Linked DNA regions of Arabidopsis thaliana. The protein of the gene in region 1 interacts with the protein of each later gene in a pairwise test. Each region holds a gene or a part of one and is shown in the gene's direction. Other genes may lie near its edges.

The links.
Region 2: the proteins of AT5G65320 (region 1) and FAR1 interact in a two-hybrid assay, tested with the Arabidopsis thaliana proteins (one large-scale study listed by BioGRID).
Region 3: the proteins of AT5G65320 (region 1) and AT5G10570 interact in a two-hybrid assay, tested with the Arabidopsis thaliana proteins (one large-scale study listed by BioGRID).

What each region holds. Positions count from the first base shown.
Region 1 is NC_003076.8:26,103,914-26,113,660, reverse strand, and holds AT5G65320 (basic helix-loop-helix (bHLH) DNA-binding superfamily protein), read left to right. Parts: upstream 1-4,934; 5' UTR 4,935-5,020; coding exon 5,021-5,419; intron 5,420-5,643; coding exon 5,644-6,045; coding exon of another isoform or gene 6,046-6,075; exon of another isoform or gene 6,076-6,083; intron 6,084-6,203; coding exon 6,204-6,293; 3' UTR 6,294-6,492; downstream 6,493-9,747. Other genes in the region: AGL78 (AGAMOUS-like 78), read right to left, coding at 2,310-3,335; HB5 (homeobox protein 5), read left to right, coding at 9,444-9,510.
Region 2 is NC_003075.7:8,609,767-8,622,057, forward strand, and holds FAR1 (FRS (FAR1 Related Sequences) transcription factor family), read left to right. Parts: upstream 1-4,293; 5' UTR 4,294-4,507; exon of another isoform or gene 4,508-4,926; 5' UTR 4,927-5,039; coding exon 5,040-7,163; intron 7,164-7,259; coding exon 7,260-7,313; intron 7,314-7,433; coding exon 7,434-7,502; intron 7,503-7,596; coding exon 7,597-7,659; intron 7,660-7,751; coding exon 7,752-7,823; intron 7,824-7,911; coding exon 7,912-7,959; intron 7,960-8,050; coding exon 8,051-8,104; 3' UTR 8,105-8,404; downstream 8,405-12,291. Other genes in the region: AT4G15080 (DHHC-type zinc finger family protein), read right to left, coding at 1-377, 488-688, 1,028-1,108, 1,186-1,314, 1,395-1,466, 1,568-1,636, 1,716-2,102, 2,220-2,333 and 1 more; catalytic LigB subunit of aromatic ring-opening dioxygenase family, read left to right, coding at 8,688-8,924, 9,061-9,440, 9,514-9,706; AT4G15096 (uncharacterized protein), read left to right, coding at 10,830-12,291. UniProt on the Arabidopsis thaliana protein: Transcription activator that recognizes and binds to the DNA consensus sequence 5'-CACGCGC-3'. Activates the expression of FHY1 and FHL involved in light responses. Positive regulator of chlorophyll biosynthesis via the activation of HEMB1 gene expression.
Region 3 is NC_003076.8:3,335,739-3,345,690, forward strand, and holds AT5G10570 (basic helix-loop-helix (bHLH) DNA-binding superfamily protein), read left to right. Parts: upstream 1-5,461; 5' UTR 5,462-5,618; coding exon 5,619-6,155; intron 6,156-6,397; coding exon 6,398-6,553; intron 6,554-6,775; coding exon 6,776-6,943; intron 6,944-7,052; coding exon 7,053-7,139; 3' UTR 7,140-7,341; downstream 7,342-9,952. Other genes in the region: AT5G10560 (Glycosyl hydrolase family protein), read right to left, coding at 597-1,198, 1,311-1,727, 1,815-2,165, 2,245-2,342, 2,453-2,619, 2,870-3,613.

The sequences.
Region 1 (9,747 bases):
AGCACAAGGATATCAATCGGTGCAATTGGATACTATAATTGGGATTATTTAGAGATTCATCATCATCGGTGGTTTTTTTCTTTCTTTCTTCCTTTTAAAAGGCAAACTTAACCGATTAATGTGTCTCGTAGATTTTTTTAGCAGTGCTTAATTAGATGAAAATGTAATAAGCATAGCTTTTGATGATCTCAACTTTTGTATGCTGTAGTGGTGACCATGTGTTCATGTGTTTCTTATAGTGCAAAGTTTTTTTAATCTTATATATTTGCTTTCTATTATTGTCAATAATTTGGGGAATAAAGTTAATGATTTCTGTTGGCCATCTATACAAATAGAATGTGTGTATATATACACATACAAGCAAATTGCATAGCTAAATTTCAAATATCGTTTATTATTTACAACAGTACTATACTTTACAAACTACTATAACTGTTTTATTTCAAGTATCAAAATGATATAGTAATTCATTTACAAAATACTATTATATATGGGCAGTTTTTTATAAATATAACATAAATCATATTCTTTATTTATTGTTTCAAATGATTATACTTTTGTGTAATTTATTCAAAACACAATTTTTTTTTTGTTGAATGCGAAAACACAATTATGGTTGACGTTGATCAACGAAAAAAAAAATGGGATTGCCTACTTAACTTGTAAATTTCGTGACAATGAAGAAGTTCCGGCTATTGTTTATTGTAACTAGTTTTAATTTGTCGAAATTTTCAACAATAATTAATACTCCATAGTAGATATAAAAAAAATACTCGTACGTGGGGATGAGGTCAACGAGAGTCGAGACTCATCATGGGAGAATAATAAGAGTCCACGCGGCGAATCCATCACTACAAGAACACTAACAACTATCGATTAAAATAATAATTTACATAACACAGAACCAGATAAGTTATTGGTATTATAACATTATTCATTCATTCGTGAGCTTTATACTTTTGCTTAGAGGGAATCAAGAACAGCTAAGACAACCAGCTTGCCACTTTCTCTGTCTCTTTCCAATGTTCTTTTGTTTTTGGCCAAAGAAATAGATCAATACATCACAAAATTCTACTCATTATTTTGGATGATCCGCAAAATATTACATTTTTTTGTAACTTGATAATCGAATTTTGAGAGGAACAAAAAATTTAAGCTATATTGCATAAAACTTGGAATTATTCTTCTTCCTTTTGTTTTGTCAACTAAAACTTGGATTATTCAATCAGGGTGATAACGTAATAATCCTTATAATCTTTAACAAAAAGTAATATAATCTTAGTAGCAAGAAGGAAACATAAAATGATAAATCTGACACCACACCATGTTATGTTTCTTGTTCTTGAGCAGTAACCATTAACCAACCACAATCTCAAAAACACAAACTGAAGTAAATTTAACGCGTCATACATGTCTCTCAATAATGATCGTCTTCGTCTGCATCTTCGGCTTATTGGGTATTACTAATAGGCCTTATTGCAAATAAATGGACTTTAAAAATTAATATTGGGCCGGGCCATAAAAACCTGGTGAAAGGATTGAGTTTTGAGACCAAATTAACCTTGTGGCGAACCAAATCAAATAAAAAACAAAATCGTACCAAATTCCCGGTTATTTTACGCGGTGGTGTTCCTCTCTCGACAGAATCGGAGGTCTTCCGGCGATAAGGTTCGTGGGTTTTGCGTATCGTTTGTTGGGTACTCGCTGGGATTGTTGTTGCTGTTGTAGAATTGGATAATAGTGGGGAGTGCTGGAGCAATGTGATATCGACTTTCTTGATAAAACACAAGGGCTAGTTTAATTGCAGATATTCAATCAGCTCAATCTTTATCTTCTTCCTCATACCATTACTCAGAAACTACACAGAGATTCTTCTTCTGCAAAAAGTCTAGAGGCTTCACGAACTCAGATCCACTCTCCATCTCCTTGTATATATTAGTTGATTCAGACAAGAAGGATACTAAGTTGCAAGAATTAAGGTTTTAAGATTATAATTTGTTTCATGCAAGTTTTTGTGAAAGATTTTTTATGGAAGTTCATATATATATGTCAATACTAACTGAAAAAAGTATCAACTTAAAAGTAAAAACAAAATCTCCACAAATGGATTTGTTTTCTTAACAAAAAAAAAAAACAAATGGATTTGTTTTGCAGTTATAATGACACTATAAAATATTAAAAAAAACAGTAACAGAAGAAATCGGAAGCAGAAACAGCTTCAATCTCTCTCCGATCCGCTTGCTACTTAACTATTGACTGACTCTTAATGAAGCTTCAAAAAAACAAATTCTTTTGGACAGATTTTGTTATCAGAGAAGTCTTGAGTTGCCAGGAAAACAATAACTGCTAGGAATGTTGTGGAGAGGTGGCAGAGAAGATGTCTGTAGCAGACTGCTCGCATCATAGCTTGAAAACATGTCTTGAGAGAAGCTAATGTTACCGACCGCATTACCATAAGGGTTCTGGTTGAAATCAGAAGAGAATTCATGTGGAACCGTGTTTGAGAGATTAGGATGTTGTAGACCGTTGTTGTTGTTGATGATTTCACTCACCATACACATGTTCTGATCAAAACCATGAAGCTGATCCTGTTGCTGCATCAAGTGATTATTCAACCCGTAGTTATTCACTGCAGATGCTTGTACCGAAAGTAACGGTGAGTAGTCTTGTGTGTTTGACACGCCAGGATGTTCAAAGTTGTTGTTGGTGATGTTGTCCGAACACATGTTCTGACCAAAACCATGCTGCATCAAGTGATTCTGGTAATTGATGAGTTGATTGGAGTGTGGAGCAGACAGTGGGAGTTGTGAGAGAGTAGCATCTCCATGGTTGTACATAAACAGCGAGAACTTGCTAGGATTCAAGTGTTGGGTCTGGTTCAGATACGATGGTGTTAAACTCTGATGCACCAAGTTTGTGTTCTGTAGTTTCTGCGCCTCAACAATACGAAGCCTTTCTTGCAGAGTAGAAAGAGTCCGTTCTAAGGACTGAATCAATTGAGAGAGTTGTTGAGGAGAGTAATGATCAAAGTTTGGATACCAATTCTTCTTCAAATTCGTCTTCCCCTTGTCCTTGTCCTTCTCCTTCTCGAGGAACTCATGAAGATTGCGGCTCTTCTTGCGTTTTCTGGCCTCTTTATACCTCAAAGCCATGTCTTTCACTGTCTCTCTCTCCTTAGGCCATGTTCTCAGTTCACCGTCTGGTCCGTAATAGATGACGCAAACCTCAATAGCACAGAGAATCGAAAGCTCTTCAGCTTTCTTGAAGATGGTTTTAAGTCTATTTGTTAAACTTGTTGAATTACGTGACGAAGAAGAAGAAGAAGCTTGCTTCATCGTGACTTTGCCTTGATTCGGCAAGAAACTAGGGTTTTTTCCGAGAGAGAGAACACACGAAGAAGAAGTATTGTCGAATTGAGGGTGAAACATTGTGAACTCAATATGTTTATATAGATGCCTTGGTGCCTACGGGAACAAGCAAACGCGACGCGTCGTTGTTAATCGCGAGGCGTGAAGATCTACGCTCCTACGATTCGATTCGATTTCCAATATCTAATGTAGATTTCCTTAATTAATGTCTCGATGGTAGAGACCAAAAAAAAAGGAAACTTTTAATTAGTTTCTCGATGGTACTTTATTTTAGGCTGTACAAAATTAAGATCTAATTAAAAAAATACTATAGATTTGATTGTGTAATTATTAATTGTGCAACAAAAACTTGGAGGAAAAAGGAAAATCTGTCTCTAAGAAAAAAACTCTTAATTGTTAATTAAGGGTTTTCAAAAAATTGAAGAAAGATTTCAACTCATTTTATTTCTAGGTTTCTTCTATCTTTTTTTTTTTCTTTTTTTTTCAAATTTTTTTTTACGTTATAGTTGTTAATTAAGGGTTTTCAAAAATCTATAAATTGTTTCTCCAATCAGAATGTTGTGAAAAATAACTAACATAAAAACACTCTTCAAATAATTAAAACTAAATGTTCGAAGGGTATATATATACTCACTCTGTTTATTGCAAAATTACCACTGTAAACGCATCACAATTCATATTGTGGAAGATTAATTCTTGTTATATATGTATTAGCTAGTCAAGAAAATACACAATAATTGGGAATGTGGAAGTCGACAAATGTAGTAACCAGCTTGCCTTATTATAGACACAACAATATATATAATAGGGTACAATTAATGTCAGATTGATAACGACGATCCAATAGTGAACCACAAATCACGAATTTTCAACTCACAAATAGACTCGTTTCTTTGTTAGATGAAATGTACCAATCATATAAAACGACATTGTGATTGGCAATCACAAAGAAATATAAATTGTTTATGCCTCATTAAATATATTACTTGAATGGTAAAGTATTAAGATTTGTTTTGCGATCATGAAAGTTAACATTCTTATTTGTTGTGTATATCTCTGAACGTTCTTATTGGATTATGTTATGTGGGATCTGTTGCTGAAGTATCCCTTTAGATTCATTTCATAATCCAATTTTCTTTATTTGATAGTATATTTGATTGCAGTCAATAAATAAATAAACTCCCTATAGATTGTTTTCCATCAATTGTAAGAGTTTTTATTTCTATTTGTAACTGAGGTTTTGAGCAAAAAGTCCATGGTATAAAAAATACCCCTTAGTCAAACATGAGAGATTTCATGACGATATATAAAGCGTAAAATCGGGTAAAATATAAAGTTATAAACTAATTGTTGATCTTAGTATTAAGAATTTATTGCATTCGTTTCTTAATTTATTGCGTAAAATCGGGTTAAAATTAATCAAATGGTTGATCTCTTCAGAGCTAGGGCTTCATTTCTTACATAAACGTCGTGAAAATTTGATTATTAAAGTCCTCCAAAGATTAATAAATTAAAACAAACCAACAAGACCCCATTATAAATACACGCATAAACATTACTTTGTGTAAAAGATAACGTAGCCATTAACTTTTATGCATTAACTCCTTCATTTCTTTTTGTGCTCGTTTGGTTGAGAGAGAGAGAGGCTATATATGATGTTCCAACAAGATTACCCTCATGGCTTTTCACTCGTGGAAACATCCTTAAGTTACGAAATGTTGGATTACTTTCAAAACATCGTCGTTTCGAACTCTGAAGACGTGGCGTCACAGCAAAATTCCATTTCGTCCTCTTCTTATTCATCAGCGACACTCTCCTGCTCCATAACAGAGCAAAAATCTCACTTAACTGAAAAGTTATCTCCTCTACGAGAAAGATATGGTTGCGGTGACTTTCTGTCGCGGAAGAGGAGAAGGAGAAGTGAAAAAACGATTGTAGATAAAGAGAATCAAAGGATGAATCACATTGCCGTCGAGCGTAACCGGAGAAAACAGATGAATCATTTTCTGTCTATCCTCAAGTCTATGATGCCTCTCTCTTATTCTCAACCTGTGAGTTTCTTTCTATCTTTAATTTAGCTTATAGGATATAAGCAGGCTAAGCAATGTTGATAATTTGATATGTTCGGTTAAAATTTAGTTTAGACAAAGAGTGTTAAGGTTCCTTATTAAAAGTAAGCCGTTAATTAAATAATAGTAATTTAGTATATTTGTTTTTGAATCAATTACTAAATAAAATTGCGAATTGATAAATTTTTGGGTTTTTCCTATAATAGAATGACCAAGCATCAATCATAGAAGGGACCATTAGCTATCTGAAGAAGCTAGAACAACGTCTCCAATCTCTCGAAGCCCAATTAAAAGCTACTAAACTCAATCAATCACCAAATATATTTTCCGACTTCTTCATGTTCCCTCAATACTCCACCGCCACTGCCACTGCCACCGCCACTGCCTCCTCATCCTCCTCGAGCCACCACCATCACAAGCGACTAGAGGTGGTTGCTGACGTGGAGGTTACAATGGTAGAAAGACATGCCAACATTAAAGTGTTAACGAAGACACAGCCAAGATTGCTCTTCAAGATTATCAATGAGTTTAACTCTTTAGGTTTAAGTACTCTTCATCTCAACCTCACAACTTCCAAAGACATGTCTCTCTTCACTTTTAGCGTCAAGGTAATCTATTCTCTTCCTCTCTTGTTTTAGGGGAAAAAGATAATATATATGATTATAGAAGTTGTTAGTTAACATAAATTTATATGAAATAACTAAAATAAGGCTTCTTGTTTTAAAAGTCAACTATATATGCTCAAAATGATTGGTCTCTGTATTAGGTAGAGGCAGATTGTCAATTGACGCCTTCTGGTAATGAGGTCGCAAATACGGTGCATGAAGTCGTTAGAAGAGTTCACAAGGAACGTTGAATTTTGTTTACATACTAGCTAACTTTGAAATTCTATTTTATTGTATAAACAATCTCTTATGTGTGTAATTTACATATATACAATTAATTAACATTAAAGTTGTTTAGTTTTTTTTTTTTTTTTGTTGGTTTACTGAGTTAATAACATTGTGTTGACGTCTATTAAATTGAGGATATAAAATACAAGCATGATGAATTGATGAGTATATGTAATCAGTTGAGTTTTAAAAAAATATTTGTGTATTCTTTTATACACTAGTAAAATTTGGTTATATTCAAGAAACATCAGATATTTAATATTATGGAAGAGCTAATTTTAAGCGCAATATAATAAGATTCACACGATGGGCCTTCTCATTACAAGAAATGGGCCTTTGAAACATATCTCGTATTTAGATCAGTAAAACCGGACGCGGATGCGATTCAATTTTGCATAACCGGATCATTGTTCCTCGAGATTACTGAAAGCTCGTGTAGATTACGAAATACGAACGAGCCTCGTCTACAATTAAACGCTAGTATCGGTGACCGAAACATCTGAAAAAGCATGCCTTCATTGAGCGGCCCAACTTACAAAATTTCTCTAGTTTACATTATTCGGATGGGGTAAATGTCATTTTGAAATCAAAATTTCATAAGAAATCATGTAGCATAATAGTTTGATAAAAGTTTATGGTAGTGTTGTTGATGTGTGATATTATGGTTTAAATTTGACACATGTTTTTGAGTAATAATATTTGGTGGATTTTTAAAAAGCATTGGATAAAGGTGTTTGGTAATGTGACCTTTTTACCTGTTTAGCTACATATTTAAATAGATATTTTATATAAGGGGTGGTAAATTTCAGATTTTTGGTTTTTCGAAAATTATGTAACTGATCATTCATGTCGTGTGATCAATGTTTCTAGAAGACAAAAAAGAACATCAAGAATCTAGTGGAATTAGTTGCTTTCATAGGATAACCAGCTCATCAACCAAACTCTGTTTGTAAGATTATATAATTCTCAATTTAAAAGAAACACCAAACCTATTTTAGTTTATATTTTTCTATTCTAAGATTTTAGATGGGTACATACGAAATCATCATATTAGTTGTCACAATACAAATGACTAATCTTTACTAATATATACACATTTAACAAAAAGTCCCAACTCCAAATACCTTTTTTCTTTACTAATCCCACCTTGCTTTTATGCTCTTTCTTTTGTCAATTAAATATATATATATATATATATTATATTTTATTTTATTTTCTCAAAATGACTGTTAGATGTTTTCTCTGTATAATTGTATTGTTTGATTCAGAAACACTTAAAAGTATATATTATTTGTATAATTTTAATTTTTGTTATTAACTACAAAGTAAAACAGTTGGTAAAAAGGTTAGTGAGTAATTCAAACTGTGAAAAAGAAAGTCGATTTACTTGTAGAATTACAAAGTAATTGAACTTTTTTTTAATGTTTCTTATCTATTGTCAATATATCTATAAAAATACTACTGCCAGACTAAAATAATACATTTTGTAGTAAATGGGCAAGATCGTTACAGAGACAGACAGACAGCTATCTCATCAAAGCTTTGTCTCCTTTCCCATTACCCAATTTTAAAAATATTTTGCAGCGTGTGAATATCCTTTGTACACCACATACTCTTTTCACATATATAATATTAAATTACACTAAAATTTGTGTACAACTATTACCTATATGTATATATATGTCAGCATGCAGCAGCTAACGAAGCAAAAAACATGTATTAATCCGACTGTCTATATATGTAAGTAACTTGCGTTTAGAAAAAGAAAAATATGTATTAGGGACTTGCATTGCGTTTCTTAATCAGAATGTAATAAGTTAATAACAATGCTGAAACACATTGACACTAATTTTAAAAAATCTTTTCGGTTAGAGCAAATCAATTTGCATGGCCAACTACTGGACCGACTACTATTGCAACTTTTTTTTGTTTTGTATAGTATTTCGTTGCGTGTATCTGCAATATATATCACCCATGACCCATGTCTATATTTATTGTATTTAAACGAAGGTTGGTCCAGTGTATTAATACTGATTGATTATGACATTTTAATTGAAAATATCCCAAATATCAACTCTACTGTAGTCCGTAGAGAGACCTGAATCTCTAATTTACTGTTTTTTAACCATGCCATCAACCAATCCAATAAGAAAAACAGGAACAAAATACAAGTGAAAACGAAGTAGCAATTGCATAATTTGGGACTCCAGAAGTTTTTTTATTAATCCTATAGAATCAAATTTTTTTCGGAATCAAATTTTAACTTTAACTATTGTATCATTACGCTAACTATGAGAACATCTTATATTATTATATGATTTTTCAACTGTTAAATTTAAAAGTTGATCATTTTGTTAGTATATGTTTCAAAAAATTTAATTTTCAAAATTATGTCGTAGTATATGAAAAAGCAACGAGTGTTTTATATGATAAAGTAGAAACTAATGATTTTGAACTAATTTAATGAATCTTTAAAATCTATGCCGGCTCCTAAGTAGCCGAGCTGAAAACCCATGGCATTGTCATGATTCACGTCCTGGACCAAAGTCTCATGAGTAAACCGGTGTCTAACTCTAACCATTGTAAGCTATTTTGCATTTAATTACAAAGTTTAAAAAATCCCCCGAAATTCCTGAAATAACTCAAGATATCTCCAACACTTCCTCTAGGGTTATCCTGTCGTCTTATTTAAAACCCGGAGTTGGGGTGAGAAGCCATCTCTCTCCCTCTCTATCTCTCTCCCTCTCTATCTCTCTCTTACCAATTTCCATTTCTCGGGGGAAAATAATAATACGACTTTTGAAATCTCTCACTAATATTTCCCAAGAAAACCTGATGAATTAAAAGTTCATATTTTCTTGGTGTTGATTGGTATTAGATGACTATTTCTTAGTATTAGTCAATTCTCTGTTTCCATCTTATATGGATAGTCTAGACACAGAGCAAAGATCCTTCTTTGGAGAAAAAGAAGATGAGAGACGAGAGAGGATCGTTTCTTCACGTATTGGTCGTAGATAGATCTTAATCGATAACCATCTAGGCCTTGATCTAACCATTCAATATAAACTTTATTTCCTTCTTCTTTTCGATCTCAATTGTTCCGACCAAACAAGATGAAGAGATCACGTGGAAGCTCCGATTCTTTATCCGGTTTCTTACCAATTCGCCATTCTACAACAGGTAAAATAAGACTCTTGTAATATAAACTCTTATACAATTCTGAAACTGCAATTATGTTTGTTGATGATCATTAGAAAGATACTAATGAATTTTTTTATTATATGATTGTGTTTTATTAATTAACATTTTAAGTAAATATATGTTTTCTGACAATTCATACTATCGAGACGTTATCCTGACAAGGTTTTGTGATTACTCATGACATCATAAATATTCCATTATTTGATTGAAACTATC
Region 2 (12,291 bases), on another chromosome or scaffold:
TCGTCCCGACTACCTTGGCTTGGAGCATAAGAGTTTCTACAATGAGACAACATTGGATCATTGTTTCTTATCTCTCTACTCAGCGTAGCTCCATTTGCTTCTGTGCTTACACTGCTTACAACACTGATGGTGCCACTTCTGGAACTAAGTTCATCATCATGTAAATGACGATTTTCTATTGGTCTTAGGACAGATGAGGATGCTCTGGCTCTGGCTGCTGCTCTTGTAGCTTCATTTGAATTCAGTTTTGCAAGCTTCCAAGCACTAATTTTGACAGGTCTCTTTGGAATCTTGTTGCCCCTCTCTGCTGTTTCAGCTGCATCTGGATCTACGGTTGATGGAACCATCCGAGGATCCAAATGAGGAATCACTTCGTCCTGTAACATAGATAACAAGTATCAAGCGGACATATCAATAACTAAACAGAGACCCAGTGGAAGCTCTACGAAAATTGTTCTATTTAGGGTTCATGGAAAGCAAATAATACCTGATAATCAACAAACACTCTAGGAGGAGTGCACCATGCTCCTTTGTATGGTAGACCGAGGGAGCTTCCACCACTAAAGCCGGTCGTGGCAGATCCAGAGGGAGAATACAGCACGTTAGGAATTTCCTCATCAATCGAAGCTCCAGCTGGTGCCTCGCTCATTGCTCTCATTGCCACAACATATTCATAAGTTGTAATGCCCTATTAGTGTTAAACAGGAAAAAAAATGAGTTCACGTTGCTTTGAACATGCGATCAGCCCAATTACAAACGAAGTAGAGGACATTTATTATATACAACATCCTCTAAGCAGTGAGACGGTTTAGACGAATGTAACATATGGTCTCAATCATGATTCATGAAGGGAAACCAAATTCTATTCTCACAAAGAGCATGCGTTTTCATGTGCTACTCAATTATTTTGGGAATAATGTTGACTATAAGATTAAAATAACAATGAATGTTTTGTATACCGTCTTAGTACCAGTAAAGCGAATACATTACAAACATATAAAAGCATATTGACTTCTTCCATACTCACCTTTTTAATGAGGAGCATGTGGAAAAAGAAAAGTTCACCTAATGGAAACAATGCCAGCATGGAAACAGCAGTACAGAGACCCTGCATAAATTGTAAGAAAACATCAGGATTCAGGAAAATCAACAATAGATGCTCACCCTTACACTAAGAATACTTACAACAACTGTGGCAAAAGGTGCCCGAGAAAATCCATTTCCAAGTCTATTGACGATTTCTGTTTCCATGTCCTTCTTATTAACAAATACACGCACTATAACTGCAATTCCAACTCCTGCTTCTATAAGGAGCTGAGAAAGAGAAAGATTTATTGATTACTGGTAAGCAAAAAGTGAGCTTGAGAAAAGGCATATCAGGAGAATATACGTACCCAGAGAAGACTGACAGCCATCAGCGATATAAAAGTCATATAATTCTTGCGACCAACACAATTGTTAAGCCACTGTTGCATTTAAATACAGCTATGTCATTTGATCACACCCATAAAACTCTAGTCAATCAACTCCAAGAAACAGTTAATTATCATAACAGTAAGAAATTTACCCGGCAATGATGATCGAAACAATCTACACATTTGTCGCAACTTCGACAATGCTTGCTAAACTTACGGACCTGTCACAAAACCAAGGTGAACAAAGGATTTAGTAGTTGCTTCTTACTCTTCAAGCATAAACCAATATTAACACATTACCTCAGCATTGCACAACGTGCAAAACAGAGCTTCTTCCCTATCCCCTTGCTGCTCATCCGTCTCTTCTTTGCTACGACAATCTTCATAAACAAACACGCCACAGCATATTGCCAACGGATTAAAGCAAGATTTTCTTTTAGCAGCTTCCACTCTTTGAGCATCTCCAACAGAACCTTTCACACTAGAGTTTGGTAAAGTAGAAGTCCTGGAAGCAACCGAAGGGGAAGACTGCAGGTGGCTGCCCGTTTCATCAAATTTTCTCGAGATATCTTTGGCAGTAGGTAAGTCACCACCTCTACTCGCACCTCTTTCGAATTTCGACATGATTCCTGGATCAGCAGGATTGATTGCAGTACAACGAACATAAAGAACGAAAACAATAAGAGCCTGCAAAACAAACACATGACACAAGAAGCAAAAGGGTATCAGATATGCAAAACTACCATGTACCTACCTAGCTCTTATCAATTCCTTATCATTCTCTAAAGCGATTCTAGTACATACCACAGGAGAGTAAACACCGAGAAGAATATACTCCCAGATGCGTCCTCCAACAAAAGGAGCGAAAAACGCATAGTATGCTACACTCAATAAGCAGAACACCGTAATCGCAACCACCTGTTTCATGACCAAACGAAACAAATGAACTAAAACCCAAATGTTAGAAATTGGAGAAAATCAGAGAAAGGTTGAAATAAAAGACCTGAAATTTGTGAGCAGGAAGTTGCCAACCATGTTTCCTCACCATTTTTGCTTCCTCCCAAAGCTTGAACACACTCACGAATCACAAAATCTAAACGAAACCCTAACGCCGCCGCAAATCGTAAAAAGAGACAATTTTGCTTGCAGTTTTGCGAAACCCAGAAGGATATAAGAGAAACCAAGCTGAGAAAATATCTTCTTGGTCTTCGTATCTCTCCCTATCTAACTAACTATGGTAGGTCAGTCATAGTCAAGTGACGAAAGAGGAAAGTAAACTCCTGTAATATATTAAATTGAAAATAAAAGAAAAATAACGAATGTGAAATTAGAGATGACCTAAGCGAATTCAAAGTTAGCAAATTTAGAGTCGAATAGCGAAGAAAAAGCTTACTGTGTAGCCATGGCGGAGACCAAAGTAACTGGAGAAGGAAGAAGAGAGAGAGAAATGGAAGAAGGAATAAAAGAGAGAATTTTTAGAAGAAAGAAAAAAGACAAAATAGAAAAGCGTTGACAGGCTAAAAGAGCGAGACGGACAAATGAAAGTGGTTACTGGTTACTATTAGTACCAACGCTGGATTTTTAGCTTACGTGTCTATTTCACCTCTTTGATATTTTCTTTTTTTCCGTAGCAAATTTTAATTATTTTTAAATTATATAACCATTATTAATGATAATATGGTAGCTTAAAGTATTAATTAAATAATATAATTTTTATATAATATTAAAAAGTTCTCAGTAATACTTAAATATATATATATTAGAAAGTTATTTAATGTCTAAATTTCAGATTTTTAGAAGAATTTAGCCAAATTAAATCAAATATTAAAAGATTTTGCTGTTTAAAAAGGAATTAAATCAAAAAATATTAAATGAATTAAAAACAATTATCTTCCACTCCACATAAAAAAAAAGATATGTGAGTAGAAAAGAAAAAAAATATTAAAAGATAAGATGCAAACCCTGCATTTGTAACTCCATAACTAAATCTAAAAGCAAGTGACTCAGAGCACAACTCTCGTACAATTTGCCCTACAGTTTTATTTATATTTGGTGGCAAATGTCAGCTCTGTTTTGATGTGAAAGCCATCAACATCATGTAATTGATTAGCATATTACATATAGAATATGAGATACCCACATATATATAGAAAAAATGACGGTAAAGATTAAAAAAAAAAGTATACTTGATTTGTCATAATAAGAATAAGCATGTATCTCATATGTACAAAAATAGATTTAATGTTATTTATTTTAATATTCTTGTATTTTTTGTTTTATTTGAACTTATAATAAAAAAAAAACTGTAGATATTAATAGTTATGTAAAAATCATAAAAATAGATGTAAAAATCATATTAAAAGTTATGATAAATTTAGTTTACTACATAACTCTTTTGAAAAATGTGGAAAAATTATAGTAAACTGTATGAAAAGAAGATTATCATACAGTTAAAATTAAAATCTTTTAGAACATGTGTAGTGGTGGTTTCTAACCAAAGTTTTTAATTTACTAAAGTAATAATAATAAAAAAAATATTTAATTTGAAGAGTTTTTTAAAATAGTTTTTTCAAATCTTTTAAATTAAAAACTTTCTCATATTTTCTTAGAAATTGTTTTAATTAAAAAAATATTGTTTATTATTTTATTATTATTAATGTAGGCGAGAGATTTTGGTAAAAAATCACAATGCTGATGCTTTTAAAATAATCAATTTTTCTAAGAATACATAAATCAGCAATGCTTCTCACACGCCAAACGTAAATATAGACGCGATTATGAAAAAAAATCGCGTCGAAAACAAACGTCATTATGTCATTACACGTGTTACCAATCAAAAAGCCTTTATGTTTAATTAGTAAAGGCTAGTAAGAGATTTACAACAAATGAAAAAAATAAAAATAAAAACATAATCCAAGATCCCTAAAAATTCCCAAAAAGAACCCTAGATTTTCTCCTCTCACGCTCCTTGGTTCCTCACTCGCTTTTGCTTCCCCACTCGCCTGCTTCGTGTTCTTCTTTGCTTTGCTCTTTTCACGTCAGAATTTTGCCTTCCCTCCCTTTGTCTCTCTCTGGGTGGCCGAGAAAATACAGTAAAAAGCCCTCACCAATCCAAAAGTTTGACATTTCCTGAATTTTGTAGTCTCTTCATTTGAATTCTCAGGTTTTCTCTTAAGATACATTAAAGTCTCTGTCTTTTATGCTGATACTAATGAAAGTTCAGTTCTTTCACTGAAATTTTAGAACCAGAACTTTTCTACTACTAGAAGTATGTTGTCTCTGACTCTCTTAGTTTGAGTTCTCAGGTCTCCTTCTCTTATTTGTGTGAAATTTTACTCTTTTTTGGCTTTAGAAACAGAACTTTTCTACTATTAGAAGTTATGTTGTTGAAAGTTCTTCACTTTCATTTGATTCCATTGATTTCATATTGCTTTGTGTGTTTCAAGTTTGATGTTTTTAGGTAGAAGATGTCGCGCTGGTTCTTATGAAGTTTGGTTGTGACATTTTTCAGGTGCTAAGGTGGATTATCTAGTAGAAAGATTTCAGTTTCCAATTTCATGGAAGCCCATAGTGGGGTAGTTGCTTTTGAGTGTGTTAGTGAATCCATATGTGGCTAAGGTTAGGATGGATTTGCAAGAGAATCTGGTTAGTGATGCAGGGGATGACCATATGGTTGACATTGTAGTTGAACCGCATAGTAACAGAGATATAGGAATTGTTGATGAGTTCAATATAGGTGGAGATGTTGGATTTAGTGGTGATCTGGATCTTGAGCCACGAAATGGTATAGACTTTGATACCCATGAGGCAGCGTATATCTTTTATCAGGAATATGCAAAATCTATGGGTTTTACTACGTCGATTAAAAACAGTAGACGTTCCAAGAAAACTAAAGACTTCATTGATGCTAAGTTTGCTTGTTCCAGATATGGTGTGACTCCTGAGTCTGAGAGTAGTGGTAGTAGTAGTCGAAGGTCAACTGTGAAAAAAACAGATTGCAAGGCTAGTATGCATGTGAAGAGAAGACCAGATGGGAAATGGATCATTCATGAGTTTGTAAAGGATCACAATCACGAACTTTTACCTGCCCTTGCTTATCATTTCCGGATTCAGAGGAATGTCAAGTTAGCTGAGAAGAATAATATCGACATTCTGCATGCGGTTAGTGAACGGACCAAAAAAATGTATGTTGAAATGTCGAGACAATCTGGCGGATATAAGAATATCGGGTCTCTTCTTCAGACCGATGTCAGCAGTCAGGTTGATAAGGGTAGGTATCTAGCTTTGGAAGAAGGAGATTCTCAAGTACTGCTTGAGTACTTCAAGCGTATCAAGAAAGAAAACCCTAAATTCTTTTATGCTATAGACCTGAACGAGGACCAACGTTTAAGAAATCTGTTTTGGGCTGATGCCAAGAGCAGAGATGACTATTTGAGTTTCAATGATGTTGTATCCTTTGATACTACTTATGTCAAGTTTAACGATAAGTTGCCACTAGCTTTATTTATTGGGGTGAACCATCACTCCCAACCTATGTTACTAGGCTGTGCATTGGTTGCTGATGAGTCTATGGAGACTTTTGTGTGGCTGATAAAAACATGGCTACGAGCAATGGGTGGTCGAGCTCCTAAAGTTATACTCACTGACCAAGATAAATTCTTGATGTCTGCTGTTTCAGAGCTCCTACCAAACACTCGTCATTGCTTTGCGTTATGGCATGTTTTAGAAAAGATTCCTGAATATTTCTCACATGTGATGAAACGGCACGAGAATTTCTTACTGAAATTCAACAAATGCATTTTCAGATCTTGGACAGATGATGAGTTTGATATGAGGTGGTGGAAAATGGTCAGCCAGTTTGGACTTGAGAATGATGAATGGCTGCTATGGTTGCATGAACATCGCCAAAAGTGGGTGCCCACATTTATGAGCGATGTGTTTCTGGCAGGCATGTCGACATCTCAACGTTCAGAAAGTGTGAACTCTTTCTTCGATAAGTACATCCATAAGAAAATCACGCTGAAAGAGTTCTTGAGGCAATACGGTGTGATTCTGCAGAATAGGTACGAAGAGGAATCTGTTGCAGATTTCGATACTTGCCACAAGCAACCTGCATTGAAGTCCCCCTCGCCCTGGGAGAAGCAAATGGCAACAACTTACACCCACACAATATTTAAGAAATTTCAAGTCGAGGTCTTGGGGGTTGTCGCTTGCCATCCTAGAAAGGAAAAAGAAGATGAAAATATGGCGACGTTTAGAGTTCAAGACTGTGAAAAAGACGATGACTTTCTTGTAACGTGGAGCAAAACTAAGTCAGAACTTTGCTGCTTCTGTCGTATGTTTGAATACAAAGGGTTTCTTTGTCGGCATGCTTTGATGATTCTGCAGATGTGTGGTTTCGCCAGCATCCCGCCTCAGTATATATTGAAAAGGTGGACAAAAGATGCTAAGAGTGGAGTATTAGCTGGTGAAGGAGCAGACCAGATACAGACCCGAGTTCAGCGCTATAACGATTTGTGTAGTCGAGCCACTGAATTGAGTGAGGAAGGTTGTGTGTCAGAAGAAAACTACAACATCGCATTGCGCACACTAGTCGAGACCCTGAAAAATTGTGTTGATATGAATAATGCTAGAAACAACATCACTGAGTCTAATAGCCAGCTTAATAATGGTACTCACGAAGAAGAAAACCAGGTAATGGCTGGGGTAAAAGCAACAAAAAAGAAGACTGTATATAGGAAAAGAAAGGTATGCTTTTACTGAAGCTTCTCGCCAATCTAAACCTACGTACATTTTCTTAGCTTCAAAGGTTAAAAAGAAGATACTCAAATTGATCTTATGCAGGGACAACAAGAGGCTAGCCAAATGCTTGAATCTCAACAGAGCTTGCAACCAATGGTTTGTGCTTTGATTTGATCTTCTCTAATTAGTTTGATCATTGTAACTGCACATTGCTTTATGAGATTAAGAGTAGGATGTCTTGGATATATGGCCTTATAGTTTTAACATTTTGTGCAGGAAACTATAAGTTCAGAGGCGATGGACATGAATGGTTACTATGGTCCTCAACAGAACGTTCAAGGACTGGTATGCTATGTTAGTTGATTAATACAAACCTGGTTAAGCCATTCGACATCTATTATAAACCCTAATACTAAACCTGTTTAAACTGTGGATATAGTTAAATTTAATGGAGCCACCTCATGAAGGCTACTATGTAGATCAACGAACCATCCAAGGCCTGGTAGGTTACATATAGTTTAAATGCTTGAATCTCCCAAATCTGTGCTAGAGTATAAGTCAACGACATGAATTTTGGTTCTTTTGACTCTTCAGGGACAACTGAATTCGATAGCACCGGCGCAGGATAGCTTCTTCACGAATCAGCAAGCCATGTCTGGGATGGTGGTACATTATAAAATCCTTCAAACTGATTTTAAAAACTGTGTTATGAATGATCGTGTTGTTAACATCTTTTGTTTATTGTCCGGTCCAGGGTCAAATCGATTTCAGACCTCCTCCCAATTTCACTTACACTTTACAGGTCTCAGCTGCCTGGATAAAGTCTTTACTTTAGTATCATTTTGTACTCGAACCACACGTGTTGATATCGTTAAATCTTTTCGTTATTCCAGGAAGAGCATTTGAGTTCTGCCCAATTACCTGGTAGTTCATCAAGGCAGCTATAGTAGCAACACGTTTTGATTACTTTGGAGAGAAGTTTTGTCTCAGGAAACATTTGCAAGAAGCTGTTCCAAACATGAGAAAAACACAAGATCTTTCATGGAGCTGAGTTGCAATGACAAGATGTAATCTTTTCTTAAATTGGTTTCTGTATATTATGGGATTGCCTTATGATGTATTAATGTGGGATGAAATATTGTGTTATCTGATTGAATGTCTTGAGATTTAATAGATGCACTTGTAACAACATCTTTATCTAAACACATAGAAATCTATCCTCTGTGTATTAGTCAAACAAGTAATTTTGAGATCACATTAAATCAAAATTGTTAAAACAGGTTTCAACTTATTTAGTAGAAACAAAAAGTTATTTTTAGATTAAATGTGGTTAATTTGGTTAAATACACATTCCCTGGTCGTTGTCGTATGTAGGTGTGTCCCTTTTGACAAAACAAACAAACAGAAAAGGTTTCTTTATTCAGACAACATCAAAACTGGGGAAGAACCAAAACTAATAGAGTTGGTCAAAAGAAACATTTGCAAAAAAAAAAAAAGAGAGGCAAAGATCTCGAGAGATTTCAATTTTCAATGGAGAAAGTGAATCAAACCTTCTTCTTATCTCATGGATCTCCAACTTTGAGCATAGATGATTCCTTGGAAGCGAGACAATTCTTCAAATCATGGACTCAAAAAGTTCTTCCTCAAAAACCCAAATCGATTTTAGTCATCTCTGCTCATTGGGACACCAAATTCCCATCTGTCAACACTGTTCTTCGCAATAACACGATCCACGATTTCTCTGGCTTCCCTGATCCTATGTACAAGGTAAAACCAAAAAAAATATAACTTTTTGTCTCAACAGATTTTTAGGGCTCTTAGATCGTTGAAGGATGCATAAAGTTTTGATTTTTAAATGTTTAAATCATCTCTCTTGGGTTTGATTTGATATTTTTGTCTGTAGTTGAAATATGAAGCACCAGGAGCAATTGAATTAGGGAAAAGGGTTAAAGAGTTGTTAATGAAAGAAGGAGGAATGAAACGTGTTGATGAAGATACAAAGAGAGGACTTGATCATGGAGCTTGGGTTCCTCTTATGTTGATGTATCCAGAAGCTGATATACCCATTTGTCAACTCTCTGTTCAATCAAATCAAAATGGGAGTTATCATTACAACATGGGTAAAGCATTGGCTTCATTGAAAGATGAAGGTGTTCTTATCATTGGCTCTGGAAGTGCTACTCATAACTTGAGGAAGCTTGACTTTAATATCACTGATGGCTCACCCGTTCCTTGGGCCTTGGAGTTTGATCATTGGCTTAGAGATTCTCTACTTCAAGGAAGGTTAGAAAGTTTTAACCTTTTTGCTGCTTGGTTATATGATAAGATCATTGATTTGTTTCATGTGTTTTTTTAGGTATGGAGATGTGAATGAGTGGGAAGAGAAAGCTCCGAATGCGAAAATGGCGCATCCGTGGCCCGAGCATTTGTATCCGTTACATGTTGTGATGGGTGCAGCAGGTGGAGATGCAAAGGCAGAGCAAATCCATACAAGTTGGCAACTTGGTACCTTGTCTTATTCTTCTTATAGCTTCACTTCTTCTCTTTGAAACATTTCAATCTTCATCTCCTATACTTGTCTTTGATTAAGCTTTTGTGTGTGTGTGTTCATGTCTCTTTAATTAATAATCCAAATCCTGTCTTGTATACGAATACAAATCCTCTATGTACTATAATATATGAATGTCATGTGAATTTCAATAAATTGTGTTGTTTGTAATGTACGTAGAACCATTTGTCATATCTCTGTGTTAGCTTTGTGATATCTACGTTTTTAACATAAACCCTTAAATCATCAACCTCCATGGCCGAACAAATCATATTTCCATCAGATGTTTTGAATACTATCTTGTATCGACACCATCGTTGGCATTTGTTGCAAATAGGTCGACTGAGACGATTGTTAGGAATACTCAACCGTATGGACACAGTCTTCGATAATTGTTCTTGATTTTATGTAGGGATCCTTTCCTAGTATACATTTAATATGGAATGTGACTCCACACTCATAGCATGCATAGTAGCCTTTTCTTCGGATCTGTTGTTTTCTCACAAACTTGGCACCAATAAAGACCAGTAGACCACTTGCATTTTTCTCATAACAAAGGGTGAGAATATGGTCATCATCGTCATGCTTAACTTTGTAAGGAAGAGTGGCACAACGAAAGCATAAAGAAAAATCACATTCCGCATAACTTAAACTTCTAATATAACATAATTTTGTTTGACATATTGAACACGCTTGCGCAGTTACTCGTTCATAGATTAATGATATAGGAAACTAGGCATTGATATATGGTTAGATACGTGGAATACATGAGTGGAGACAGTAGCTGTGAGACGTGGCAAGAGAAGATTGGTCGATGGGAGTGTTAGAGGAAGAATCGAGATGCAGAGATATATAGCTAATGAAGATCATTTGCAGAAGATAAGAAGATTTTGGATTTGTTGTTTATAGTTTCCTTTTGGATTCTCTCTGAGAATCGTTCCTCATCGTTCGCCGGAGTTTCATGTTGAACTCTTGTAGATGAGAAGTTGATATCGCGTTTCATGAACGTTGTATCAATCTGTCATTTTCATTAATCGAAGCATTCTATTTCGTTACTCTGTTTTCCGTTATCACTGGTATCAGAGCCAATCGTGTCCTCGGTGGAGATCAAAGCTACTTGCACGATGAAGAGTCGTCGGCGCATATCGTGGGAAGAGATAAACGAGAGCTGGTTGAATGGCTTATGTGTGTTTTGCAAAGAGCCAGAAGCTCCTGATCACCACCTGAAACACAAGAACTTAGGGCTTCTTATGATCTATGGTAATGACGATCATCTCTCTAATGGTGGAATTGGTGAATCAATTGATCATCGTTCAATGAATTTGGTACATGAGGAACGAGAGGAGCACTCCAAGTTGGATAATCACAAAGATTTAGTACAGAGAACTATCATGGAGGAACGAGAGGAGCACTCCAATTCTGAGATTCTGAAAAGTGTTGAACCTAGGGAAGTAAATTTCGGGTTGGAAAATCTTGATTCTGTGGTGATGAACGAGTATCAGGAGCAAGATTGGGTTAAACAGAACATGAATAAGAGGTTTGAGGTTGAAGATGATGTTGATAGGGGTCAGAAATTGTTGAGTATTACAGAAAATTGCAGTGCACACCAAGTGTTCGGTAAAACGTCTCAACATGAAGAAAAGCTGGAAATAAAGAAGAAAGCGAAAGGATTCAAATCATGGATGTTCAAATTCAAACTTGCTAAGAAAACAATAAGGAAACGAGACAATAAGGGTTGGTTCCACACTTGGAGCAGAAAAGTGGGTTGGAGGAAGAACAAGCCTATGAAATTGCAGTTAGTTTCACATCAGGTGAAAGAATCATCACATAGGGATAAAGACTCTTTTGCGGGAAAAAAGTCAATTAAGCAAGAGATGTGTGTTGAAGTGGAGAGCTTGTTGCAGCAACAGGATTTAAGACGCATTAAAGAGACACAAGCGGATCAGGGAGATTCTTATGTTGTTGTCCGGAAACTGTTGCCGCATCTTGAATCGGTTTGTGCTACAAAATCGTTTTTGGACAATGATTCAATGTCCGAACTTGAAGCGGAGTTAACTGACTCAAAGATGAGGACGGCTGGTGTTACACAACATCAGGTCTCAATTTTTGTCATGGAAACTAGCCATCATCATCAAGTGTTAGAGGATTTTGATATGCATATGGTCATTGAGGATCAACAACCTATCGTGACAGAAGCTTTGCGTCTAATCTCTAATGATTTCCACTCGGACGTGGCTGAGTTGTGTGAGCAGTTAACATGTGACGAGTCTCATAAACCGAAGCAAAGACTAGCTCCAAAGTCTTGGATGTTTAAGTATAGAAGGGACCATAAGATACTACAGAGCCCTACTATGTCTAGGAATGTGAGAATGGTTGTTTTCAGAAAAATGGAAGCAGCAGAAAGGAGTCAACATTTGGTTACACACAGGTTTCATGTGGGTCCACTAGAAATGGATACTCAAGACTCTGAAATTGGTATCATAGAGGTTTTAAGAAGAGTGATGATGCTGTTCCAAAACAGTATTGTACAAGCCAAGATGATGGTGACAAAGAGAAAGAAAACGTTTTACAAGTCTAGGAGATTCA
Region 3 (9,952 bases), about 23 Mb from region 1:
ACGAAAATACCCTTTAAAAGAAATCATCAGTAAAGCATGAATCTGAACTGTGGAAATACCCCAGATTTCTCAAGGATCTAATCTTTTTTCTTGGCAAGCCCTTGATTCCTTGAACAAGATCAACAAGAACTTTGAAGGAAGAGAGAGGAAGGAGACTCGATCCAAGTTTTTTTTTTTCAAAGGAAGGAGGTGAGAGTGACTCAATTATTGAGAAAATAAGTGCAATTTTGTTTATATACATTTGACGAAGTTGGGTAAAATCTGGGCCGTCGGATCCTTGATTAAAAACACATATTATGAGGTGTCAGGTTGTATACTGGAAAAAGGAGGTCATAACCGTAAATAATAATAAATGTTGCGTCTATCCCCAAACACAACAACAGATGTGGGGACCATTTCCCTGATATATCGTGGGACCCACGACAGCTCACTTTTCTCTGTTGATTAATCTCTACCACAATCACACGCGCAGAAAAATTGCGTGCGTGTCACACTCTCTTTAGCTGACCTGGTTGTTTCTGTAGTTTCAAAAGTATATATATAGATCATTCTAGAAGGAAATAAACAGTAATGAAATTTTTTCGGATTACAGTGTTTTAGAATTCAACAGAGAGAGAATGTTGTAAATCTCCCAAGAACAAGACATGACTCCCCAGAGGAATCACTCTCTTCCCGACATCATTCGCTACGCTTAGCTGCTTGCAAGGATCGATTACGAACACTGTTTCCATCATTTCATTGGAACGAACATGAACACGATCATAACCAATCAGCTGCTTCTCCGGAACACCAGATAAAACCGGTGGCATTTTCGAAAACAGCATCACAACATGACTACCGTCGATTTCTCCGGTATTGCTCACATGAACACGAACGTTAAACCGCAGAGATTCGCAAGAGTTAACAATCACATCATCGAGCTGTAAGTATCGAAGTTCTTCTCCATGTTGTAGTTGTTTCTTGTGAGAAGACTGTTGTGGAAGAAGTTCCGATAAGCTAAGTCTGATTGGTGCTGATAAGATCTTGTACTCGAATTTCGTGTAGCTTAAACCGGTCCCAAAACTGTAAACTTGAGGTCCGGTATAGAATCTGTACGTTCTTCCTGGATATCCACGAGATGAATTGGCTCTCATGTGCATATCCGACATTGCCACATCCGTGAATGACTCCGGATACCACGTTGTCGGTAATCTACCACCTACACTTGAACCGAAACCAAAACCATATACAACCAAAAAGCTTTAGTATTCAGTTTCTGCATTTCATAAACTGGGATGAACAGAAGATGCTTTGATTTGCGATAGGCTAACCTGGATTGAAGTCTCCAAATATGATTTCAGCGAGTGCTTGTCCACCAGTTTCACCTGGATAACCAATCCAGATAATGCTTCCGATTCTCGGGTCATTTTTAGCAAACGTTACATCCACTGGTCCTCCACCGGTTAGAACAAGAATCACCGGTTTTTTGCTCACAGCAGCAACATGAGACACAAGATCTTTCTGTTTACCAGGCAAAGAAAGACTAACTCGATCCTTATCCTCGGTTTCTTGAGAGAGATCTAATCCTGCAACTACTATGACAAAATCCGCTCCCTTGGCGATGGCCACAGCTTCTCCAAATCCGGTATCAGAATCACAAGACACGTCTGAGCAACCAGACGCATAAGATGTCTTCTTCACATACTCCAGAAGTTCCGTGAACAAAGTCTTTCGTTGACACGGCTTTCCTTTACAAATATGACATTTATAAACTGTTTCAGCGAGGAGAAAAATTTAGCCTGCTTGAAAATAACAAGAAGATAGATAGTCCGAACCTGTATAAGTACCGCCCATATTGCTTATATTATTCGCCATTGGACCAACGATTGCTAATGAAGAAACATGGTTTTTGTTCAAAGGCAACAACTTGTGATCATTTTTCAGGAGCACGATACCCTGTCTTGTTGCTTCCAGTGCCAATTTTCTGTGGTCTGAGCTACAAATGTCATTTGATCCTAACTTTCCGTACTGTCCTCTTCTTGGATCACCATCAAAAAGTCCAAGACGAAGTTGAACAGCAAAGAGATTTAGCAGAGCTCGGTCTACTAGTTCTTCGCTCACCTTCCCCTGCTCAATCGCAGATTGTGTGTGCCGAAGCATGTATGTTCCACAATTTATATCCACCCCTATGAATTCACAATCTCAGATTTCATTTTAAGACAACCTATTTACAAGTTAACAAGTGTTAAAAGAACTCAAAAGGACCTGCTTTTATGGCATCAGCAACAGCTTCCTCAGGTGACTTGGTATATCCTTGGTACGCAAAAATAGTTGCCACAGCATCACAGTCTGATGTAATGTACCTGCACAGATACAAGAAAAAGACTCCCCGGTAAATCTTTCATTGGCCGAACCAAAGCATCACAAACAAAAATCAGGTTTTTCTCTCCTTCCCTGTTGAAGATTCACTTACCCTTCAAATCCCCACTCAACTCGAGCTTTTTGTAATAAGTCTCCTTGCGCACAAGCAGGGACCCCATTAACTGCATTATATGAACACATCAAGCAGCTAGCTTTACCATCTCTTATACAAGTCTCAAATGGGGGCTGATATGTGTCTTCCATGTCCTGTTCTGTGACCTACTAATACAGAGTAAGCTAGACTCAGTGTTCGACACAGAACCATGGAGATAATGCAAAAGCCAGAAGCAATATAACTAGTTAAATTCTGTTTCATGAACACCAAAGAAAGGTGCATTCAATAAAGTCTATAGATTTAATTCTATTTTAGGTCAAACCTGATCCACTAAACCTGAGAGTTCTCAATTAAAATCCAATTGAAGTTGATACACAAGCTACACATAGTGAAGAAAAGAGTTCTTAGTCTTACCACAGCATTGAAGTCGTATCTAGTGAAATTCCCCCATTTTTCCAAATCATAGGCAGTGAAATGCTTACAACAAGCAGATAACATGAGCTTCCCATCAGCATCATCATCATGACGATCATCATCAACATCATCACTAAATCTTCTTTTCAAAACCTTCCTTTTCTTCTTCTCTTGAAACCCTCTAACGAACTCAACTCCATACTCGGAAACTACCTTCGGATCCTCACCAGGAGTCTCCTGTCCTCTTCCCCATCTCGGATCCCTAAACACATTTATATTCGGAGCCCAAAACGTCAACCCAGCTTGACCACCGTTGTACATAGCCCGACCTTCCACCGCAACAGCAGATCCAATCTCGTACCATAGCGTTCTATTGAAAGATGCAGCAGATACGATTACCTGAGGAAAACTAGTAGCGGCGGAGATCGAACCGTTGAAGGAAACTCCGGGACCGTTATCGGCGAGTCCGTGTAAAGACTCCGACCACCACTCGTACGGAGGAATACCGAGACGGGGTACTGAAGCAGCTGTGTTTGAGAGCTGACCTATCTTCTCTGGGAGCATGAGGAGGGAGACGAGAGAAATTGCTCGTTGTTTTATGGATAAAGAGACATTGCAGAAGGGATAAGAGCTAAAATGAGGAGGTTTACAAGGGAACTGTGGATGAGAATCGAGGTTTTTGAAGGTTTCAGCTATGGCGGAAGTGAAGAAGAGTAAGGAGATTAGAGTCAACTGAAGATTCATATTTTGGAGGAAAATAAATCTGTAGAGAAGAGTGAAAAAGGAAACTAAAAGGTATAGTTTTAAACCGAACTAAATAGACCGGTAAAATCTAAATTAACAGTTGGACCGGTTGGTTCACTGCTGTTTCTTGTTACTTGTCATTTGACGGACGGTAGAGGGGCCAAATCATTATGGGCCTTTATCTAATCGATTTATAGTAATTAATTAAGATCAGTGAACATTTATGAATTGGGGCTTTATCTAATCAAGGTCTACAATTTTTGTAGACTAATGCTTGAATAATTTTACTTTTACAAATGGGTGGGTTTCAAGTGTCTCTAGCTAGTTGACAAAAGAAAACATTAAATTTTATTTTAAAAAAATTAAAAATGATAGTATTTTAAAATTGTATATAAATTTTTTATTCACAAGGATTTAAAAATATTAATTGTAAATAACAAAAATTTTAAAACCACCAAATTTTATGTATTGTAGTTATATTAAAAGTCAGAATTATTTACTTTGGTGTAAAACTCTCTAAAATAAATGAACCGAAAACTCAAAACCCAATATTGAAACTTAACTAACAACCCCAAAATTTTCAAATATGCATCCATAGTGGCTTAGTCATGGTCACATAGCACATAATGGCTGAAGCTTATTCACGTGTTTCATCTTTTCTTATCCCTGCTTCTGCTTGCATGCATTCACCTTGAAAATTGTGTCATTTTTTTCTTATGGTTGTTACTTTATTTTATTTACTAAACCTTTGTCAACCCAACTGTTGATCCCTGGTTTTAGTTAAACCAACAATTATTAGGATAAACACATACTTTTTAAAAAAAGTCAATGGGTATCCAAGAATGATTAGTTTAGAAATTTAAATATATGAAATTTTGTTAATTTTCAATTTAAATGTTGAGAAATGAAAACAATGAATTGTCAAAGAAAAGCAACTTATATAATGCAGACAATAATGATATCCGATTGAGTAGTAAATAATGGAGTGAAGATAGAGTAGGAGACAGTGTGTGTCCACAAACTCTCACGCAACTCGCTTCTGATATAAGAAACAAATTTCTTTGACTTAAGCCTTCTTCGATCTCTTTGACCTGTCAGTCTTTTCTTTTTCCATATTAATACAATCATACACTGATACACCACAATGTAATAATTTGCGGAATTATGTCTATTAGAAGAGACACGGGTGTTTATTTTTTCCCGTAATTGATCGATATCGTCGGATACGAGTACTTTTGAAATGGCAAAAACTCACAATAATATATATCTATTCAAGATTTTTCCATGTTATTAACGTTCAGTGCCAAAAGCCTATCCAATAATAATAATAAAAAAGCAAATATGATGGCAGCTTCTCAATCTCGAAATCTAGACCATTATCTCTTACTTTTGTAAGCATCTGATTATTCATATTTGATATTTCTAATATTAAATACCATTCGTATCATATACATAAGTTGACTAAGGAAGAGAGCTAGATGATGATGTTCATTCATTTTGGCCGGGACATACTTTGTGGGTCAGATCATTTTTCCGATCAAAGAGAACGTATAAATTACTTAATATCGTCACTGAAAACGAACCATCAATAATAATACGATTCAGACAACAACACAAAAGAAAACGATATTAAGTAAAAAAAAAATTTCATCAATCTCAGCTTATGCCTCATAGGTTGGTGCTGGACCATGGATCAAAAACAAACACACTAAATTGTAATGTTTTCTAGTGGATCTCTCCTTAAACAACTAGACAAAACTACTTATTTGTATATATATTTTTAACTATTAAAATCCACTTTTTATGTAACAAACAAGTCATAAATATACATATGTCAAATGGAATAAAGTAATTCTAATCAGTTAAAAAGTGAATTCTTCATTACAATTCACACTTATGTAATGCATTTACATGCATTTGTATCTTCTTTGACCCCAAGCTCACAAACTCTGTTCACTTCCACTTTCACAAATAACAGAGTTTCAGAAAATAGAGAGAAAGAGAGATGGAAACGGAATTGACGCAATTGAGAAAACAAGAAAGCAACAATCTCAACGGCGTTAATGGAGGATTCATGGCGATTGACCAATTCGTCCCAAATGATTGGAACTTCGATTACCTCTGTTTCAACAATCTTCTCCAAGAAGACGACAACATTGATCATCCTTCTTCTTCTTCTTTGATGAATCTAATTTCTCAGCCACCTCCATTGCTTCATCAACCACCACAACCGTCGTCACCTCTTTATGATTCTCCGCCGCTCTCCTCCGCTTTCGACTATCCTTTTCTCGAGGATATCATACACTCCTCTTATTCTCCTCCTCCATTGATCCTTCCGGCTTCGCAAGAGAACACCAACAATTACTCACCATTGATGGAGGAAAGCAAGAGCTTCATAAGCATCGGAGAGACTAACAAGAAAAGGAGTAACAAGAAGCTTGAAGGTCAGCCTTCGAAGAATCTTATGGCGGAGAGACGGCGGAGGAAACGGTTAAATGACCGACTCTCCCTGCTCCGATCCATTGTCCCTAAAATCACCAAGGTCAAATTCCATAAACCTCATCCTTGTCACATGTTATATGGTTTTTATTTTTAAGTCAAGAAGAAATATTCTTCCTTTTTTGTTAAGTTCTTAACGTTACATGTATGTTTTCTTCTTGTTGAAATCTTTTTTTTGGTACACTGTTCACTGATAAAAGGTTATTGCTTTTTGTGAATCTGCATAGAGTTTGTTGTATGAGAAAATGTATATAATTTTTGATGATTATTATATAATAAAATCAGATGGATAGGACATCGATACTAGGAGATGCAATAGATTACATGAAGGAGCTTTTGGACAAGATTAACAAGTTGCAAGAAGACGAACAAGAACTTGGAAGCAACTCTCATCTAAGCACCCTCATTACAAACGAATCTATGGTCAGAAACTCCCTAAAGGTAAAAGCTAAAAACAAAACATAATGTTATTATGGTATTTGTGCTTCAGTACTCATAAGTCTTGTGTTTTTACAAATTCATCCCATTACAAATCATTTGTTACAAACACCCTCATCATATACTTGAATCAATTTGATTCCCATTAGATATCACTCAAAAAATTATAATCACTTGAAGGTGCAGACAATTTTTCTGGCTATAACGAAAACGAATCTTTTGCAGTTTGAAGTAGATCAAAGGGAAGTTAATACGCATATTGATATATGTTGTCCTACGAAACCGGGTTTGGTTGTATCAACGGTTAGTACATTGGAGACTCTAGGATTAGAGATTGAACAATGTGTCATTAGCTGCTTCAGTGACTTCTCATTGCAGGCTTCTTGTTTTGAGGTACAAATATTATTACACTTTGATTTAGCCTTACTTGGTGCATCGACAAATTAAATGTATATTCTATAATTATTTTCTGTTATATTCTGTTTTTTTCGTATATATGTAGGTTGGTGAGCAGAGATACATGGTTACTTCGGAAGCTACTAAACAAGCACTAATCAGAAACGCAGGTTATGGAGGAAGATGTCTGTAGGGGAGCTTCAAAATTGCAATGTTTTTTAATGATGATAATATTTTCCGGTTCTTCTTATTCTCTTGTGATGAGTATGATATTTCATAAGGAGATAGATAAATGGGAAAATCAAAGGTGTAAAAAGAACTCATTGATGTTTACCAATTAGTCTCCTCGACTGACCCCTCGGTTTCTAATCCGACTCATTAATAAAACATGCAAAATAGAGAGAGCAGAAATGTTAAAAAGAGTTTTCATTTGGGCCCAATAAGCCCTGTTATACTAAAGCCCAAATAAAGTCCACTAAAATTCTGCCAGCTTTTTGACCTAACGAGCTCCATCCGTTTCCTCTTTAAATAGCTGCGTCTAACTTTGAACCCTAATCAAGTTATCCGAGAATCGGCCACTCAAAGCTTATTATCAATCTATATAGTTCGATAGATCTCTGTGCTAATTTTTTTTCTTGCGATTTGTTTTTATGGTTTATGTGTTTTGGTGGTTTTTTTAATGTCAATCGGGACTGGAGTTTGACTCTTTAGCAAAATAACGATGCCATAGAGATGAATGCAGCGCCCTAAATAAAAAAGACCACAATCGGAGATCTATCTCAGTTCTGTCCGAAATCGATTCCCTCGATATTGGACGCTGAGATAGTTCTCACATGTTTTAATCTCTGCTTGTTTTTATTTGATTTTATGAATGATTATGATATGATTCGTAATGGGAGCGGTGATTCAGGCAACCTACTTGTTAATAAAACAATGACATGAGAGGTGTTTAACTGCTCCTAGATCAAATTATGCTTCTGCTCTTCAGACTTGCTGAGATTTTATCGTCTTTGAAGCTGGTCTAGTAGTCTTAAGCACATTCTTTCAATCTATATGGCTATTCCACTTTATCCGTCCCAATTCTGATGTGTTTACAGAAACCAGATCTTGTCTGATTGTGTTTCGTCCGGTTTATTTCGGATTCCTAAAGAAGAAGGGTTTCGATTGCACCTAGGCCCATTTCTACCGTCTATAGTTATTGTCATTGGTCTACTGGACATGAAAAATTATATTAATGGATATGACATGTCTATTTTACTAATTAGAGGAAAATATCTAATGTATCTGCACAATCCTACATAACATACCAGGCGATTGTGTTATGAAAATAAGATCTTTCAAAAGGGACAAATTTCTGTAAGAACGTCGTGTTATGTTATAAAAAAAGAAATTTTATTTTCCCTTGATTCCTATAAAAAAAAGAAATTACATAAGGGTTGATTACACATAGGCCCATTTCAAGCCTTTCTAGTGATGGGTCACTCGACATGAAAAAAGATTAATGGACTTTATAGGTCTAACCGCAGTCGTTGTAATTCTTGAACATAATAAGATTATCAGAGGATTTATTTTGATCCAAAATTTGTTTTTATACCTAACTTATCCTATATTCTATATGTTTAATGGTTTATAAAACATAGTTTGATAGTTTGATATGGTTATGCGTAAATTTTGAATAAAGTTTTATTGTCACCATTCAAACTTAAAATAATACAAAACTCATATAATAAAAAAAGGTAAAGACTGTAGACTAAAAAGAAAATAAGATAAAGTTTTTTTTTATAAAGACACCGCCACTGAAAACCTTAATTCATTTGGTAGAAAAAAAACAAGTTTTAAAATTTTGTCCACTTATCAAAAGAAATTTTTATTTTAAGTTTAAAACATAACTTTATAATAAAGACACAATTTGTTTTTGTTTTTGTAACTATTTATTCTGATTTAAAAATATTATAAACGAGAAACCAGATCAAAATAGCAGATAAAACAGGACTCTTTCATTCGTCTTCATTTTTAACACACAAATCTTAAATCACTTCTTTACGCCGACAAAATAAAAATAATCACATCTTACATATACAAATGTAAAATAGAATTTTTAATAGTAATCTGTAAGCAAGCAGGTGAATAATCATATAGAAACAAATCAATCTTAAGACAAAAATGTAATTATTTTTCTATTAAAATGAACGGTGAACCCAAAAAGTATGCACAATTAACTAAAAAGGAAAAATATGGGTAGGTTAGAGCACTAGAGGTTTGTGCGAGTAGGTTAGGTTTCGAAGTTTATACACTAAAATATATGGTCGAATGTGGACCTCACAATTTCTATTTGCTGACGAGAGCTTCCTTATTTGTTATTATACTCATATAAGATGAGCTGTTTAATAAGTTAATAAATCATAATTAAAGCAATCGTGTAAAAGATTAAGACATGTGAGTGCTTCATTTCTTTGCCGTAGTGTTGTTGTTAGTTAGTTATTGGGTCGCACGAAGCCACCACCCTCTCTCTCTCTTTTTCTTTGTCCCCAAAGAAGACAAATCTTTAAACGATTGGTTTAGGCCGTGAATACTGTTTTTAATTGTTGTTTTTTCTTATAGTGCAGATACTGTATTTAATTACGTATGTGTTAAATTTAAGTATTGGCACGATAAGAAACTTATTCAATTTCATTATTAATTAGACTATAAACTTGACTGGGGTCTAATTTTGTTTGTTAGTATCGTCAACAAAAATATTGTATATTAATTTCTTTTACCAAAATTATATATAAAAGAAAATTTCAACAACAAGCATGACCGTGTTGTAATACTCAAGAGTTAAATTCTGAGAGTCTTAATTAAAAACAAAACAAATGAAATGATGAATTGTATGTACATATATATATTCTGGTTTAAGGAATGTATGTACTTGGTGGATTATTAAATAGAGTTGTATAACTTTAAAAGTAAAACGTCAGATATAGCGTGCGGAATATATATACTATAAGCATCCGATAGATAAGT